4 linked regions of the Arabidopsis thaliana genome follow. The protein of the gene in region 1 interacts with the protein of each later gene in a pairwise test. Each region holds a gene or a part of one and is shown in the gene's direction. Other genes may lie near its edges.

The links.
Region 2: the proteins of ATAF2 (region 1) and AT2G34140 interact in a two-hybrid assay, tested with the Arabidopsis thaliana proteins (one large-scale study listed by BioGRID).
Region 3: the proteins of ATAF2 (region 1) and ZFN2 interact in a two-hybrid assay, tested with the Arabidopsis thaliana proteins (one large-scale study listed by BioGRID).
Region 4: the proteins of ATAF2 (region 1) and AT5G01200 interact in a two-hybrid assay, tested with the Arabidopsis thaliana proteins (one large-scale study listed by BioGRID).

Annotation. Positions count from the first base shown.
Region 1 is NC_003076.8:2,858,103-2,862,547, reverse strand, and holds ATAF2 (NAC (No Apical Meristem) domain transcriptional regulator superfamily protein), read left to right. Parts: upstream 1-1,989; 5' UTR 1,990-2,403; coding exon 2,404-2,563; intron 2,564-2,652; coding exon 2,653-2,933; intron 2,934-3,024; coding exon 3,025-3,435; 3' UTR 3,436-3,699; downstream 3,700-4,445. Other genes in the region: AT5G08780 (winged-helix DNA-binding transcription factor family protein), read right to left, coding at 3,738-4,061, 4,166-4,253, 4,346-4,445.
Region 2 is NC_003071.7:14,412,988-14,417,008, reverse strand, and holds AT2G34140 (Dof-type zinc finger DNA-binding family protein), read left to right. Parts: upstream 1-2,220; 5' UTR 2,221-2,308; coding exon 2,309-2,821; 3' UTR 2,822-3,315; downstream 3,316-4,021. UniProt on the Arabidopsis thaliana protein: Transcription factor that binds specifically to a 5'-AA[AG]G-3' consensus core sequence. Transcriptional repressor of 'CONSTANS' expression. Regulates a photoperiodic flowering response.
Region 3 is NC_003071.7:13,964,798-13,970,663, reverse strand, and holds ZFN2 (zinc finger nuclease 2), read left to right. Parts: upstream 1-1,706; 5' UTR 1,707-2,244; coding exon 2,245-2,311; intron 2,312-2,638; exon of another isoform or gene 2,639-2,738; coding exon 2,739-2,899; intron 2,900-2,979; coding exon 2,980-3,036; intron 3,037-3,200; coding exon 3,201-3,317; intron 3,318-3,404; coding exon 3,405-3,701; intron 3,702-3,876; coding exon 3,877-4,113; intron 4,114-4,236; coding exon 4,237-4,674; 3' UTR 4,675-4,950; downstream 4,951-5,866. Other genes in the region: PDIL2-3 (PDI-like 2-3), read left to right, coding at 5,258-5,386, 5,573-5,731.
Region 4 is NC_003076.8:74,787-79,291, forward strand, and holds AT5G01200 (Duplicated homeodomain-like superfamily protein), read left to right. Parts: upstream 1-2,085; 5' UTR 2,086-2,329; coding exon 2,330-2,790; intron 2,791-3,165; coding exon 3,166-3,508; 3' UTR 3,509-3,757; downstream 3,758-4,505.

The DNA of each region.
Region 1 (4,445 bases):
AAATTAAGGCCCAAACGTGACCCATTATTTCCTAAGTTGTTGTGTCGAGAAAGACAAATTGGGCCGATGTTTTTAAGTTGCGGTGACGAATTGATTGAGAGAGAGGGACAAAATGGTGTGACAAATGGATGTATTTATTTGATTTTTTTTTTTTGCAATTAGCAAGTAGTTTGGTTTTTGAAGAAACTTTGCAAGTTGTTTATTACACACGATTATAAGAGGTATGAGCTTTGAGTAAATTCGATTTAGAAACTCGGAAGGTTGGAGAAATCTATCATAAACTTATAATTCACTACTCAAACATTCCAATTAAAATGCTAGAATTAACTACAATATATGCACGGTTTCAAACGAATGTTATATAGTAAGACTTTTGTCATACGCACGCACATAAGAATAAGACAAGTAGTCATATGAATAGAGAATAGTATGTAGTATATGTGATACTAATTGTTGTTAACGATAGGTTCTAAGTTCCGACAATGAGGTCCCAAGTTGTCTCCTCCTTATCCAAATTCTCAAGTATATTCCAATGTAAATTTCTAGAAACGACAAAACATAAAGGTAATAATCCATCACCAAAACATTATATTTGCATAATTTGGGTCAAGTTCGGCAGCTATAACATCAAGCTCCACGAAGCTTCCTATTTCAATTCACACCGCGACTAAATTAACAAACAACTGCAAAAAAACTATAAAGTCGATTTCTCTCTTTATCATAAAAATTCAGATCAAGTCCAGATCCAATTGATCTGAATTTTATAATAGGAACAAATCATGCGTTACGATGTCTTTTATATATTTTCTTGTTTTCTTTTTTTGGTTTAATATTAGTGGTCATATCTTTTATTCTAGACTTGACTGTTATCATCTAAAACGACAGAAAAAAATGAAGTCGTCAGTGCACGAAAATTATTTAGCTAAAAGCCTAAAAGATGTGTATGAAATGATACGACTTATATAACTTGCATTCTTATATCGATAAAGAATCCTTATTGACAACAACAAAAAGTCATGTTTGACCACAAATATTTCGTATTATAATTAATTTGGCTACTAAGGGACTTTTAATAGTAAAAGGAAAAGACCATGATCTTATAAAACATTACGTTGAATCGATCATAATTAGTTTATAATATGATAGAAAACGTAAGTGATGATGATCATAAAACGGGGAACAAGCCCACGTCATGCTTGCATACACACCTACCTCAACTTTACATTTAAAGATTTTAAAATAGAAGAGGATTCATGGGCATTATTTGCTAGTGAATCAAACTTATGAATTATAAATTAAGTCTGTAATGAAAGCGGCTCAATGGGTACTTAATTAAGGATTAAGCTAGTGGTTAAATAGTTGTCCTTAACACATATTTTTATGTAACGGGGAAACTCAAACTAAAGCGCAAACGCTTTCTTTGCGAACTCCAATGTTTTTATTTATGTGAATGTAGTATTATTAGTCGAGAGTATTTATAATTAGTGACTATGATTGGCGATTGCAACTTTAAATGACGTCATCCATCATGACGCAAAGCTTCGCCTGAAGAAGGAAATTAATCAGCTGCGGAGATGCTCACCGTAGTTTCATCAAACTGTCCAATCACCAGTCAAAACTACAACTTCCGCCCCAAGAAATGCTGACTTATCTTCAGCAAGGTTACAATAATGTGTCAATTTCAATATCATAAAAAAGTAGTGGCTGCTGAGATTTTTCTTTTTAAATCTTAGTGGTAAATCTTAGTGGTAAGTAAAGGAACAAAAGCGATAAGCTACACTGAGAAGCAGGAGATTACGGTTTGACATATAAAGGCATTTCCATCTACGAGAAATCCACAAAATTTCTCAAACAAAAAAAATATTAATATTATATTATAATTTAATTATTTAATTAAAAAAGTATTTTTGTTAAAAAATTGAACCAATAGTAAGATGAGAATTGTCATGATGGGTTGTAAAGTATCTCAAAGTTTCTCAAGTAAGAAACTTTCTACACTCTCTTTCCCAATGGAGATGGTCTAAAGTCGGTCAACAATTCACAAAAGGTTTAAGTGACGCAAGCAATGACAACATCTAAGTCGACTATCCAATAATATTACGCCACGTATATATCCAGCTGGCTGCGGTCAGCGTAGAAAAGAAAACGGTCTGTTTTGCCGCACGTGCTTGAAAATCCCCTCGTGTCATCTCTTTTCTGTTTTTTGTGTTTTTTCAATTTAAATTAATTAAAACATTTCGGCGATTTTCGTCCTTATAAAACCTTCGTCGCCTCACTCACATATCCTCGATTACAATCTTGAGCAGACGAAGAAAACCCAAAAAAAATCCAGATCCAGCTGAAATTGAATTTTCAACCAACGAAGAAGAGATTTTTCCAAGAGCAACAGACAAGAAGAAGAGAATGAAGTCGGAGCTAAATTTACCAGCTGGGTTCCGATTCCATCCAACGGACGAGGAGCTTGTGAAATTCTACTTGTGCCGGAAATGTGCTTCCGAGCAGATCTCGGCTCCGGTTATCGCCGAGATTGATCTCTACAAGTTCAATCCTTGGGAGCTTCCAGGTACACCTATGGGCTTCTTCTAATTATTTTTCGCGAAATCATGTGTCTTCGAGAATCGTTGTTTATTGAGATGTTTGTTCTTCTTTCAGAGATGTCTCTGTACGGAGAGAAAGAGTGGTACTTCTTCTCACCTAGAGATCGGAAATACCCAAACGGTTCGCGTCCTAACCGGGCAGCAGGAACCGGTTATTGGAAAGCTACCGGAGCAGATAAACCGATTGGTAAACCGAAGACGTTGGGTATCAAGAAAGCACTCGTCTTCTACGCAGGGAAAGCTCCAAAAGGGATTAAGACCAATTGGATAATGCATGAGTATCGTCTCGCTAATGTTGATAGATCAGCTTCTGTTAACAAAAAGAACAACCTACGAGTAAGTTCTGTTTCTTATTAACTTATGTATCATCTTTTCGTGAATGATGATTTAGATTATTAACTTTGTTGTGGTGGGTTTTGCTGTACAGCTTGATGATTGGGTTTTATGTCGAATATACAACAAGAAAGGAACCATGGAGAAGTATTTCCCCGCGGATGAGAAGCCGAGGACCACGACAATGGCTGAACAGTCATCATCACCTTTTGATACATCAGACTCGACTTACCCGACATTGCAAGAGGATGATTCCAGCAGCTCAGGTGGTCACGGTCACGTGGTGTCACCGGATGTTTTGGAGGTTCAGAGCGAGCCTAAATGGGGAGAGCTTGAGGATGCTTTGGAAGCTTTTGATACTTCAATGTTTGGTAGTTCCATGGAGTTGTTGCAGCCTGACGCTTTTGTCCCTCAGTTCTTGTATCAGTCTGATTATTTCACTTCCTTCCAGGATCCGCCTGAGCAGAAACCATTCTTGAATTGGAGTTTTGCTCCACAGGGGTAAAAACGGAAGAGACCAAAAAAGGTGTTTGCTAGTAGTACTGTGATGTGCCAGAGAGAAGAGTCTCATCTCAACTCATCCCTGGCTCTTAGTAGTAAAAGAAGATTGTAGAATGTTAATAGCTTTTAGCATCAATGTCTCATTAGCAGGCACATTCTTGTTCTTTCATGAGAAGTTTATATGAAAACTAAAAATTTATATTCAAATTCTTCAAGATGTTGCACTTATGTAGATACTGATATTAAATAACAACCTAACCTTTATGAGATATCATGCTCTCCGGAAGCATTTTTTGATGAGTATCATCAGCTGAATCGAGGCGATTTCCTCACAGCTGTTATTCCTATGTCTCTGAGACTTTTGATTCTCGTTTTCTTGACCTGAGGTTTCTTTTTGGAAGACTTCTCTCTTTCCTTCTGTTCAAGCTGTGTGGAGGGTTTTTCAGATCCATTATTCCCACGAGGAGTCTTCATTTTGGGATCCTCTTTGCATAATCCTTTGCTTATACCTTCGAGTTCACATCCTGGAGATACAGAATATGGAACCACGGTTTCATCACATGAATCGATGATCTCAGAGAGCTGGCTTTGTAACTTTTGGGCAGCCTTCCACAGTTCTCTGCAGCTTTCCTGTGGATAAAGAAAAGGAGACAACAAAAAAACATTCAGAACCTGTTTTTCATCAGCTCAAAAACATATCAGTGACATGACGTAACAGGGATTTTTGTCCTCACCATTGATAAAGGCAAACGAGAAACATCATCAATTTCTGAAACAGCTTTGTTCTGCTGGTCTTTCTCTTTGCACTGTTTTAGCATTTTCCTATTTTTCCAACCCCAAAGAGAAACATGAAAATCATTAAGCTAATTCAAAGATGAATAGAAAAACAGGCAACAAAAGGGATCAGAGCTTACTCTAGAGCAATGATATTGCTGCATGCTTCGGTTTGGCACTCCCAAAGTTTTTTATATGCTTCACTCGTGACTTCCACATTTTCTTTCGTTGTGTTAGATG
Region 2 (4,021 bases), on another chromosome or scaffold:
AAATCTTCATTAAGTGTAAAAGTGATACATGATTAAGCTTAAATACAAGTAAACTAAACCAAAACTACTAACCAAACTTAACCACAACTAAACCAAGTATATACACTCTAATAGAATGTGTACGTTCGTTAAAGAACGGTCATGGCATATTTGTATTGGATGTTACTTAAATTTGGTAAATTTGAAAAGAAAAGCATTATCGGTAAAGCTGAAATCACTAAGATTTTTCTTTTTATTAATTTACAATAGACTATCCTTTTTCCATACCATGTAAAAGTGGTTCCTTTATGACTAGAAAGATACCAATGAAAATTCATACTACAATTTAAAGGGGAGATGAACATGAAATTAAACTCAAAGAAAGAAAAAGAGAGATGAACATCGATCAATGCTCTCTTTTTTACTTTCTTTCCTTTTTGTTAAAAACAATGTTCTCTTTTTTTTCTTTTACTTTTCTTCCTTCTTTTCTCCTTTCATTTCTAACACTTTCCTTAGTTTTACTTTTATATTTTATATACGTCAACCAAATATGGGATTAGGTTAATTGAAAGTGGCATATTTTCAGAAAAGTACTTTGCTTTGCTTTATCTTTCCTCAATGTTCCATTCAAAAGACTCCGTCTTTCAATCGAATATCAACGCATGAGAAAATTATGATCCATTTTGAACTTCACTGACGAGCCGGATCATACTAGGACTGGACTTATGGTCGTTGATACTTGAGTGAGATTATAGCTGAGATGGTCAATCCATCGACACTAGATTGGATCATTAATTGATCAGACTTAGCTCATTCGTCCGACCCACTTTACCATTTATATATAGTTTCAATCTGGCCACTTTGCGACAAGACATGGTGTATAAGATATTAGTAATTAAATTTAAAACAATTCGAATACTTATGAGAAGGCTACCGTGAAGAGGACCCACAAGAAGTCTTTAGAGCTGACAAAAGGAAGAAATATGAAATATGAGTAACGATGTCTCTGTCTCAAAAGCTCATACTCCTTTCTCTTTTCCTCTTTTTAACACTGACTTATTACCAAACATTTCTTTTTTTGACGGCTATGTCTTAAAAGTTAGATCACATCTAAAATATATATATACAGTATATAGTTCATCCATTCTAAATTCTAAAGATAAATATTTCAATCTTGATTTCCAAAAAAAAACGATGAGGTCAATCCTAAAGATCAGTATTAATTGGGGGTTTAAACACATACACACGCACAAATCCATCCAAATGTTCTTTGAAAAGAAAATATGTATGGGCCGGGGCAAGACTCCTAGGTATCTAGAGAGTTGCATTTCAAACCTAATGATAATAGATTATTTAAAGTTTTAGAAAAATGGAACTCGTGACTCGTGCACTGAGAAATCATTATCAAATTCGTAAAATATTAGAGAGCAAAAAGTCTGAACAAGACATTTTCCTTTTCATGAGTTACTGCCTTGTTCGTTTTGGATATTTCCTCCGTTTTATAATATAAGTTGTTATAGACCAAATTTTTTGTTTCACACTATAAATTGTTTTCAAGTTTTTATGCAAGTTATATATTACTTTAATACTTTATGATTATTTATATTTTACAGTCTCTTTTATGATTGGCTGAACTTTTTAAAAGTTAATATGCTTAATATGTGTGTTTTTAGCTAAAACAACTTATATTGTGAAACGGAGAGAATATTATTTTTTAGTATCTGTTTCATATTTTTATATCTAGATACTAGTTAATCAAAAAAAAGATCTATAATTTCGACAACCCTGAAATTCTAATTCGTTAATAATCCATGAACATAGACTCAAATTCGGATGTGAATAGATGGATCATGTTTATAGAATCTCTTTCAAGTAAATTTAATCTTATTTTAGTTGGATCACGTTCAAGCATCCACTAGCTTGTCTAAAATTGTTACGAAATAATTAATGTGTATTCATTTATTCTATAGAGTAAGTGGACGAAAAAAAGGGAAAACGTGTATGGTTTTACAGTAACTACTTACGAATTGCACTTTTCAAATAATTAGCTTTTTAAAGAAAGCTTTGTAGCTTGATCCGCATTGGCATTCGTGTTTTACGTGTAGATGTGAATTCAAGACCCAAAAGTAAAGCGATGAATGCGCCTATTACTACATGCTTTAAAAAGTTTTTAACAAATAAATATTTTAATCTCCACTAATTCAGTCACTTTTCTTCTCCAATTCCTGCTAAAAAGTTATACTATCATCTTTCTATAAAAAGACGTCTTCTCTATTTCTTACCCCCAACAAACTTTGGATAAGCTATTTTCCATTCTCTGCACGTTTTCATGGCGACTCAAGATTCTCAAGGGATTAAACTCTTTGGCAAAACTATTGCATTTAACACTCGAACAATAAAAAATGAAGAAGAGACACACCCGCCGGAGCAAGAAGCCACAATAGCCGTTAGATCATCATCATCATCGGATCTGACGGCCGAGAAGCGTCCGGATAAGATCATAGCATGTCCAAGATGCAAGAGCATGGAGACAAAGTTCTGTTACTTCAACAACTACAACGTTAATCAGCCTCGACACTTTTGTAAAGGCTGCCACCGTTACTGGACCGCCGGTGGTGCACTCCGGAACGTTCCCGTCGGCGCCGGTCGTCGGAAGTCCAAACCACCTGGTCGTGTCGTGGTTGGTATGCTTGGAGATGGAAATGGTGTTCGCCAAGTCGAGCTTATAAATGGCTTGCTCGTTGAGGAGTGGCAGCATGCCGCAGCCGCAGCTCACGGTAGTTTCCGGCATGATTTTCCCATGAAGCGGCTCCGGTGTTACTCCGACGGTCAATCGTGCTGATTATAATTATTTACTCTCTTTTTTAAAAAATAATTTGTTTTGGTTTTGGGGTTGAGTGGTTTTCCTCTAAACCCGTTGAAGAACGTGGTGAATTTGGTTGCTATTGGGTACATACAGGCTGGCAAAGTAGTTAATTTGTCATTTGTCAATCAATCGAATCCAATTACTACTTTAATTTACTACTCTCTATACAAGAGGATTCTTTTTAAACAATTTAATTAATATTATCGACCTAGGATTCGTATGCATTAGTATAGTGGCGTGTGTAATAAATTTTGATAGATTTGTCATTTGTGTTTAGAATTCCATATGGTTAACAAGATTTCTCCAATTACTTGTTGGAATACCTTATATAAGTCGGTTGTTGTGTTATTCCATATTTGTAATAGTCTTTTTTTAGATTGTGGATTAATGTTTTGGCATTCATGTGAAAGAGACTTGTTGTTATTTGCCATTTTCATTAATGTTTTAAGCATAAAAATGGTTAATAGATCAAACCTATATATATATATATATAAGATGAAACCTAATTACTTATTTCTTATATTTAAATACACTAAATCAATAGTCACTTTTCAATAACTGCAACTTATTACTTCCTACAAAAAGCCTCCACCTCTCGCTTCCTTTCTTCTCTGATTCAGTTTTCCTGCAACTTTTATGGACTATTTATTTTTTGAAGTTTCTGTATAGATTCACTGACATGGGCCAAAGGCAAAGGTAAATTACTGGTTGCATTTATATATGTTCATTGATTCTAAGTGCCGATGTATCCGGTTAGATTTTGATTATGTTTTGGGTGATTCTGTTTTTTTTTCTCTTAAGTTAATTCTGTTGATTTTATGTTTCCTTTCTTGATAGATCTATTGATGGGAGACTACGATTTCTCTTTTACAGTGCCCTCGGTGTGGTACGTATCATTTCGATAAAATCTTTTTCCTATTATCATTTTTATTTGATCTAAATGGAGTATCAACGAGTATTATTTTGAGATTCTATCAATCATTGTATTTTGTAATATTATTCTTTGTCGTCGTTTGCAATTAGTAGCTAATATTTACCACAAAAAGTTATGCAACAATGCATATGTTTAGGTTATTTCTTTACCTTTTTATTTTTTACAGGAATTCCTTACTTTCAAAAGAACTAACAATAAATCCAAATATTCAGATTGTAGAATTTCACAAGAAAAACTAGATT
Region 3 (5,866 bases), on another chromosome or scaffold:
TCCTTTCACAAAAATAATTTAACTTACAATCTAATTTCTTGCATGTTAAATTTCATAACGTTTTCTAATATAAACATAAACTTATTATATGAAAGTATTATAAAAACTAAACTAAAATTCACGTAAAAGAAAACAAACTGGTGGCCTGAATTTTGCAATTAGTGTGCATTCTTAATCAATCGTACTGAGTACAACAGTATTGGTCATTAAGCAGCTACAAATTAAGGAAGGATTCAGCGTGGGCCCTACAGCAGAATTAAACTGGTCCAAACCGCAGATTAGCGTACGAAGAACATTTTAGTATGAGGCTCTATTTTATTAAAAAAAAAAAAGCTCCCTTAATCTTTATAAATCAGTATTTTTTACCTTTCTCATTAAATAAAATACCGTGTAGCTCACGCTTTCCTTTTTATCCTTTACTCCACACTAAATGACGAAAACACCCATCAATTTCTTTTCTTTCTCTCTCTTTAACTTAATAATAATATATTTATATTTCCCCTAAATTCTGAATTTATAATGTCTCATAGAAGAAATAGTTTAGTTTCTACTTTCAAGTTTCAACGTAGTTTTTTGTATTGTGAATAAAACTATTTGTTGTGGAGTCAATTGTAAAATGGGGTATAATTCAAATGCTAAACAAAATTAGAGTCGTTTATCAAATAGTAGATTCATTTGTAGAAGAATAAAATATAATAATGATGTAATAGACTACAAACTTGTCTTAGATAATTTCATCTCTAATCAAATACATGTTTCATTATATTCTGTTTGTTCTCATAATAACATCTTGGTAAAAAATTGAGCTTATATGTCAATGAGACATAATTATTTTCATAAAAAAAGTTATACAGTAAGTCTTAATTAATTTACAGCATTAGTTACAATTTGGATCAACATTAAGTATCTTTTAATGATACCATCAATTTGTTTATAGAGATCAGGAGTCAATAAATACATTTATTCATTCAGCATAATATAGTTGGAAATCTGTAGAATTTTAGTGAGAAGATATAATAATTAAGAAAAGGACCCACGCACCGTCATTTAGATACGCGAATAAACTGCTTTCAAATTAGGTGTGTCATGTGTGATTGCATATTAAATGTTAACAAACCTTAATTTGGCCAAAAAAATAAACAATTTACAACACTAATAGACTTATTTATAAAAAGATCAGAATATGTTGATAACTAGAGATAACATTTAAGAAATTATAATCACTTTACATTCATATTAAATCATAAGTTTATCACTATTTTTTATTGAATTTAGTGCTAAAACTATGTGCTAGAAATAAATTATTTTAGAAAAGTATGTTGAGTTATTAATTATGAAAAAATAAATACTACATTAAGATTACATTATACAATTGAAAAGTTCAGTATTAACTCTATTAAGATTAATTAACATATAATAGCTTTTTTAGGCAGCATAATTTCATTTGTTTAAATTAAAATGCAATAAGAGAAAAAAAATTAATTTTTATTAAATAAGGTTCCCAAACAAAGAAGAAGAATAGAGGGGGTCCCACAAGGTTTGTATCCAACGGCTCAGATCGAACCAACACATTGAAAATTAAACCACGCGCAAACGAGTTAAAGGAACATATAGGGGTAATATAGTCATTTCAGATGGACCGGCAGAATTTATTAATCCGTACACGGGGGGGGGGGGCAAAGACTCATTACTCAGCACTGTTATTTTTATTTTCATTATATTATATAAATGCAATATTTGTTATTATATTATTATTTGATCTCGTTTTCACATTGAAGAAGAAACTCTTCATTACATTGGGAGAAAAAAAAAGAGGCAAAAAACCAAAAAGGAAGATCCGAAAATTTTCCCACGAAAATCTCAGATTCTGGGGAAAAAGAAAGGAAATCGCCAAGCAGAGAATAAGGCAAAATTTCATTCCTATTGGAATATTTGGGCTGAGATTTTTCTCTTTTCTTTTGGATTTGTTCAAACGATAAATCTATCTTTGGGACACAAAAAAAAAGTTAAATTTAAGAGATCGTTTTTTATTCTTTTCAAGTTTTCACATTTTGTTCTTCGTTTGATCTTTCATCGGAAAAAAGGAAAAATCTTATTTTCCTTTTGTGTTTGTTTCCTTTTCGTTTGTTTGATCATTGTGATCATCGTCTCTACTTACATACAACTCATAAACGATTTTTTCTCAGAGGATTAGAGACGAGTTTTGATTTTGTGTCTGTGACTGTGTTTGTTTCATAACGAGCCATGTCGGAAACTCAGCAGCAGGTTCAGAACTCTACTGGGTCGATTCGATCTCCCGACAAAATTGAAGGTAGTTACTCTCTTTTTTTTCATTGAAGATCCAACGAAACGGGTTTTTTCCGTAATGTGTTTGAAGATCATATAATTTCTGTTGTTGTTTTTGATCATTCAAGTCTTATTGTGATTTCGTTTATTTTTTCTGAGAGTTCTGATCATTCAAGTCTTAAAAGTTCGAAAATTTAGAGTTTTGTCTTTTTGGAGTTATCTTGTTGGATTCGTCTTGTCGGATCATTGATTCCGAATGCTTCTTCTACATTTATGGAAGTTAAAGATCATGTTTTTTTTCATTGTGTGATATTGTTCTGATTCTGATTGCTCTTTGTCGGATTTAAAGTTTGACATTGTCTTTTTGTCTTTGGAATGTGGATTCTTATGATTTGAGTTTGGTTTTTCTTGTTATTTAGATATATAATGTTCTTGGTGTTATGATTTTGTAGATACCTTCAGGAGGATGAAAGTTAATGAAGACAATATGGAGCAATCTAGTCCATATCCTGATCGTCCTGGTGAGCGAGATTGCCAGTTCTTTCTGAGAACTGGTCAGTGTGGCTATGGAAACTCTTGTCGATACAATCATCCTCTTACTAATCTTCCACAGGTGAGAAACTTAGTTTATATGGCTGAATCTTCTCTTCATCTTTCCTGATACTCGAGCTTACAGTTTGTAACATTTTGCAGGGTATTATTTATTACAGAGACCAATTGCCTGAGAGAGTTGGACAGCCTGACTGTGAGGTGCACTGCTTACATTATGCTGCAAAACATACCTTGTCTTGAGTCTTTCCTTATTTGGAAAGTGTTAATACAGTAGTTTGGATAGTTGATGCACCGTATTGTTTTACTTTTCTCTGAAGATGTTTAACGAACATTTTCCTCTTCTGTATGCATTTTCTTTGCAGTATTTTCTGAAGACAGGAGCCTGTAAGTATGGCCCAACATGTAAATATCACCACCCTAAAGACAGGAATGGTGCTGGACCCGTGCTGTTCAATGTTCTCGGTTTGCCTATGCGGCAGGTAAGATTACATCGTTGCATATAGCCTGCTTTTCATCCACCAGTTTCATACTTGATAGAAAACTTTATATGTTTCTTCTCTCTCCAGGGTGAGAAGCCATGTCCATATTACATGCAGACAGGATTGTGTCGATTCGGAGTTGCCTGCAAATTCCATCATCCTCATCCTCATTCTCAGCCTTCTAATGGCCACTCTGCATATGCAATGTCCAGCTTTCCGTCTGTTGGTTTTCCTTATGCCAGTGGAATGACAATGGTGTCTTTGCCTCCTGCAACATATGGAGCTATTCCACGTCCTCAAGTTCCTCAGTCTCAGGCCTATATGCCCTACATGGTTGCACCCTCCCAAGGCCTTTTACCTCCTCAAGGCTGGGCCACTTACATGGTAAGTCTTAAATATAGTTTCTCAGTGCATAGACCTTGCTTTCTCTCTGTGAAGTTACAATAAATAGACAGAGATTCTGCTTTTAACAAATTTCACTTTCTTTTACAACATTCCTATTTTGCAATAGATTGTCTTAATCTGAAAATTCTCTCTTTTCCTTTTTACCGTGGTGCAGACTGCATCTAACCCCATTTACAATATGAAAACTCAACTCGACTCCAGTTCTAGCGCATCGGTGGCTGTGACCGTGACATCACATCATCACAGTTTTTCTGAAAGAGCTGAATGTAGGTTTTTTATGAACACTGGAACTTGTAAATATGGTGATGATTGCAAATACAGTCATCCGAAAGAAAGATTGTTACAATCACCACCAACTCTCTTGAACCCTATTGTTCTTCCAGCAAGACCAGTAAGTCTCTTGTCCTTCTTTGTTATTTTTTGCCAACTTGACATTTCCGCAACTCGTTCTGTTTATTCTGTTAAAGCCAACAAGCTTTGGTGACACTAATTTCTCTCATTTTGCTGTGTTCAGGGACAGCCAGCATGTGGTAACTTCAAGGCCTACGGATTTTGCAAGTTTGGAGCAAACTGCAAATTTGATCACTCAATGCTGCTAAACCCTTATAACAATACGGGCTTGGCCATGTCTTCTCTGCCTACTCCTTATCCTTATGCTCCACCTGTTTCAACTAATTTGAGGATCTCATCGCCACCAAGCCCCTCTGATATGACTACCCTATCCAATGGTAAACCCGCTGCTGCAGAAGCTCAAAGCTTGGAGACTGAGAAACAAGACGATAGTCCAACAGAACCAGAAAAATCAGAAGTGGAGGACTCATTGCCACCAAACGGCTCTGATTCAACCTCCCTGCCCAATGATAAACCTGATGCAGAGACTGAGAAACAAGACGATGATTCTGCAGAACTGGACAGCTCAAAAGTGCAGGATTCATCTGATAAATCTACATGATCACGATCATGATCTCACAATCTGGCAGAGTCTTTCCCTGTCAGGGGTATCTAACGGTCTCAAAATGATCTCTCTGCCCTTTTTGTTAATTTTTTTGGAAAGAGGGCTTGGAAATGTTCTATCTTTTTTTTTTTTTTTTTTTCTTCTTCTTTGGTTTCGGAGACAGCAATGGCTGAAACAAAATAGGAAAAGAACAGTGTTTTGAATTGGTTAATAAAACTTGACATCCTTTAGCACAATTTTCAGATTCTCAACATATCAAGTTCCATGATTTTTCTATTTCTTTATCAAACTGTATATTCGATTTCCTTGATGCAGCAACTAGAAAATGTTGAACCTAACTAGTTTTTGGAACCCAACACAAATAGTAACCCTCTTTCTGAGCCAGAGGCTTGCCTAGTTAATGTTACAAAAGAAAACGAAGCGACATCTTATGCTGATGTGTCAGGATATTATTGGTTAGACTACGTAATTCCACGGAGCTTGTGTTCTTAAATCTGCTGCTTCGCAGGATCGCGAGAGAGAAAAGGATACAATTTTACAGAAGAAAGTGAAAAGAAAGAGAGAAAGGGGAAGAAGAAAAATGTATAAATCACCATTAACGTTGCTCACACTTCTTACTATTTGTTTTGGATTCTTCGATCTCAGCAGTGCTCTTTATGGATCTTCGTCACCTGTGGTTCAGCTCACTGCTTCTAACTTTAAGTCCAAGGTATGGGCTCTGCATCGATTTCATCTTTTGGTGTTTCTGAGAATCTCTATTGGTTTATCTGTATAGATCCGGTTTAGCTGCTAATTCATTGCTCCAATTTGTTGATTGTTGTGATTGTTTGGGTAAACCGAAAATGAGAATTGATGTGAAACTGTGTTAGTGTTGATAACTTGTTTCTTGTTGCAGGTTCTTAATTCAAATGGAGTTGTTTTGGTAGAGTTCTTTGCACCATGGTGTGGTCATTGCAAAGCTCTAACACCTACATGGGAGAAAGTGGCTAATATTCTGAAAGGAGTTGCTACTGTGGCTGCAATTGATGCAGATGCTCATCAGTCTGCCGCGCAGGTTTGTGATGTTGATACCAGTCAGCTAAAGTTTCAATTTTTCCATGTAGCCGTTGCTTGTGAATCATACAAGAAAAAAAAAAACTTTTTTACTCACTATAATGCACAAAGCTCAGGCTCAGGTTTGTGATACTGA
Region 4 (4,505 bases), 2.8 Mb from region 1:
AAATTTTTTTCGGACTTCTGATTGATCCATAGTTTGTCCTAATTTGTTTTTATCACTTGTTTAATACATGTGGTAGATAATAAAAAATGTTCAAAACGCAATACCATACTTGAAAAAAAAAAATGTTAGACCTAGTTATAAGACAAGACTGAACTAATTAAGTGATCGGTTAGTTGGTAAAACAAAATAGTATTTCGAACTTAATTTTCACCTAAAGTTTAAACGTGTCTACTAATGACTCGATAAACTAAAAAAAACAGTCTTTTTTTTCTTCCAAAAAGTCGTTATCAAAGCAGAATTCATCTGTCGTCGAATTTTGAATGAGTAGGTGCAATGTCACATTTCCAATATTAAAAGAAAACGAGAAAGAAAAAAACAAAATACTCCTCATAAAACGATAGAAATGAAATAAAACGAAGCAAGAGTAATAAATTCGACAGAAAAAGGAGTAATTTACTAATTATAGTAAGAGAATCTTGCTAAATATAGAATCCAAGAAGAAGTCACTCTCTGTGGAACAGAAACCTTGTGTCTGCTACAAATCAGCAGATGACACTTACAGTTTACGTTTCATCATGCATGTGAGCGACACTATAGGGAGAATTCGGTATTGGCTTCCTTTGTTGTCCCTACCTTATTTAATTACTCCTGATAACTATTTTTCTGTGTATTTCATCGTATCGAAATATCCAAATTTCATTCTTCATGGCTGATTTAACTAGTGTTTAATTATAATTATACTTTATACTTTTTTTTGGTTCTTAATCACACATGCTTTCGGGATCTTGAATACGAAATTTTAAACCGTCTATCATTTGTTTCCTGAACCGGGTATTGCAAATAGTTAAATCTTAGTCAACTATTTTTTCGAGTTTTTTTTAAAAATAGTTCTGAAAGACAAAAATACATGAGTTTGTGAAAATGTTTGACAGTTGGCTATAATAATTGGTTGCAATGCTTTATACTTTTACCAAATTTAAATTATTCAATTGGCTAGAAGTGGAGCTGTGGTACCGTCCACATGAGGTGGTGTCGTGGTGAGACATTAATATATGAACTTTTGTTACGATATGAAAGCACCCGACACATACATTCTTCGTATTATCTTGCCTTATATGAATAAACATAAAATAACCAATACTAAATTTGAAACTGTGATACACTAAAGAAAATATCTTTGGTTACATCCAGCTCTGGCTTCTGTTCAAAGTTTTTCTTTTGAATTTATTTAAAGGTTAATTAAGATCACCACCTAACCCACTTGTACAACGGTTCTGCAGTTTTTGCCATCGAATCCCATTGTTTAATTCGCATATTTGTATGATCTCTACTTTTTTTTTAAAGTTAAATAGATTAATTAACAAAATGAAGTTTATTTACAACAAAATAAATGAAAAGTACAAATACGTTAAAAAACAAATTGTTTGCCAGCCAAAAATTAATTAAATACGTAATTTTCGAAGGTGTAATATTCCAACTTGTTTTTGTATATTTGTTTAGCTTATGGAGTTATGGTTGTGTTATTATATATTGAATGGGCTATTTCGTGTTGACAAATAAGCTCTTTAGTTAAATATTATTATGTTCTTGATTAAACAACAAATTAAGAACCGGCCAAACCATTGAACAGTCGTTTTCTGGTCTTTTTCATTTTATTGGTTACACCTTCTTTGTCATAAAATAGAAATTATGTTATACTTTCTTTCATGTATCGACACGTGCATTTGGTTAGTCTTAATCCCATTTCAATTTTATATGATTTATCATATTAGCAGAAAACAAATATGCTAATTATCACATAGATAAGCCATACTAAAAGTATTTATCTGACCTTAGGTTAAAAAAAATATTAAAATATAGCTTATAAGAAACATTCACTACTGAGTTGTCATATTTCTACTGGCCGACTTAGATTGCAACAACTAAAATATATTTTTTATAAATCATTTGACATAGGCAAAACAAAAACAAATATCTCTGTAACTTTTTCCTCAATTTTTTCTTTTAAAAAAACACTTTTTTATACACCTTTTCCTGTTGAATGTATTATTATTCCTATTGATCATCACGTGAAATATAGAAAAATAAAATAAAAAAGCAAAATCCACTTTTGTGTTTTCCTTTTCGTTTACGACCAAAGAGATCCACTTTATGCTCTCTTCATTTTCTCCATGTAATAATTTTTCTCGAGAGATTTCTGAAAATAAAGTCGTTTCTTTTTTTTTTTGCCTTGGTCACTCAAGACTCTCTTCTTCACTCTCTGTTTTTTGTCCTCTTCTAAAATTTAGAGAAAAAAACGAAAGTTTTCACCAAAAACAGAGGAGGAGCTATGTCATCGTCGACGATGTACAGAGGAGTTAATATGTTTTCACCGGCAAACACAAACTGGATTTTTCAAGAAGTCAGAGAAGCCACGTGGACGGCGGAGGAGAACAAACGGTTCGAGAAAGCTCTCGCTTATCTGGACGACAAAGACAATCTTGAGAGCTGGTCCAAGATCGCAGATTTGATTCCCGGCAAAACAGTAGCTGACGTCATTAAACGATACAAGGAGCTAGAGGATGATGTCAGCGACATCGAAGCCGGACTTATCCCCATTCCGGGATACGGCGGCGACGCCTCCTCCGCTGCAAACAGTGACTATTTCTTTGGTCTAGAAAACTCCAGCTACGGTTATGATTACGTCGTTGGAGGAAAGAGGAGTTCGCCGGCGATGACTGATTGTTTTAGGTCTCCGATGCCGGAAAAGGAGAGGAAGAAAGGAGTTCCGTGGACCGAGGACGAACACCTGTAACTACCAAATTTCTTCACTACTTCTAATTAATGTTATAAAGATTTGTTCTAAAAAAATCGATATTTTATGTTATAATACTATAGAATTTAAGTTTCTAAGCCTAACAATTTGTTTATTTTGGTAAATAATTTTGGAACTAAATCTTGTTTTGTGGTATTTTGAGGTAAATATATCTCTTTTATTAATATTTACTTGAAATTCTCTGTTTTTATATGAACTCACTGAGGAGAATATTTCTTTTGATAATTAAAATGCCTAGGATTTATACTTTTCTTACAATTTATATCTATTTTCAAATACTTTCTTGAAATTATTTATCTTATGTGAAGTTAACTAAATATAATATTGATTTACTTTTCTTTGTTTGACAGACGATTTCTGATGGGTTTGAAGAAATATGGAAAAGGAGATTGGAGAAACATAGCAAAAAGCTTTGTGACGACTCGAACGCCGACGCAAGTCGCTTCACACGCTCAGAAATATTTTCTTCGACAACTCACAGATGGTAAAGACAAAAGACGATCAAGTATTCACGATATCACCACTGTTAACATCCCTGACGCAGACGCATCCGCAACCGCCACGACCGCTGACGTAGCACTCTCTCCTACTCCAGCCAATTCTTTTGACGTTTTCCTTCAGCCAAATCCTCATTACAGTTTCGCGTCTGCGTCTGCGTCTAGCTATTATAATGCGTTTCCGCAGTGGAGTTAAATCACTTAGAAATTATCTAGAGTTTGTGGTCTCCTATAGATTTGTTACATACATTTTCTACGTACATATTACTGCAGAATTGTTGTAAATATTTGTATGAAAAGGTTTGTGTGATTCTGCTGTCCATATATTAGGTCTGGTTGGTTGTAATTTTCAGTGTTCCGAGTTTTATAATACCAATATATGATATATATATATGATATATATATATATATATATATATGTGTGACTTTACATACTATATTCTTTAATAATCATATAATTATAATGTAAATACCGTTGACTTTAATGTCAATGCTTGGTGTGAGTCGCTTTTTCTTCCCGACAACTTAGGATTAGTTCGAATCAGCATCTAATTCAGTTTTTTTTTGTTCAAATTAAAAGTAAAACTGACGAAGGATCTGACTATTAAATACTACTTTTTTACTTAATATTCTTCCCATGGCTTCGCTGATCGTTCAACATAACAGAAGAATTATATTCCATTTTCGTGGTTCCATTTACCTCCAATTATTATCATGAACCTGACGGGTGTTGCGTCCCAAATGCTTCGAGCTTTCAATTTGTTTTTTTTTTGTTTAACTAAAAAAAACGAAAAGAAAAGGGAAAACAAAAAAACAACGTCGGCTTACAAAGCCCAAAGAAGAAGAAATAGTTAATGCCCATTAAACTGTGCCCCAATAAGATCCCTTAAACCCCGTAAAAATCCATGATTTTCAAGCCCAGTAGTGATTTGGAGTGTACCGGTGATTTGGAGTCTACTAAAATGTTAAATTCATAAATTGCAAAAAGTTGTAAACTACAGTATTAGGATTACGACCTCTTAAAAATAGAGATACAAAAGAGTATAATATGAAGTCGCACCACATGTTTTTCATATTTCAAATTGCAACCAATCGTAGAGAGTTATAACTAGTAAGACTTCCATCGCCGTACCTAAAACTAGATAAAAGTTGATTAAAAGCAAGTACACTTCCTTTGTCTTAACATTAAAACC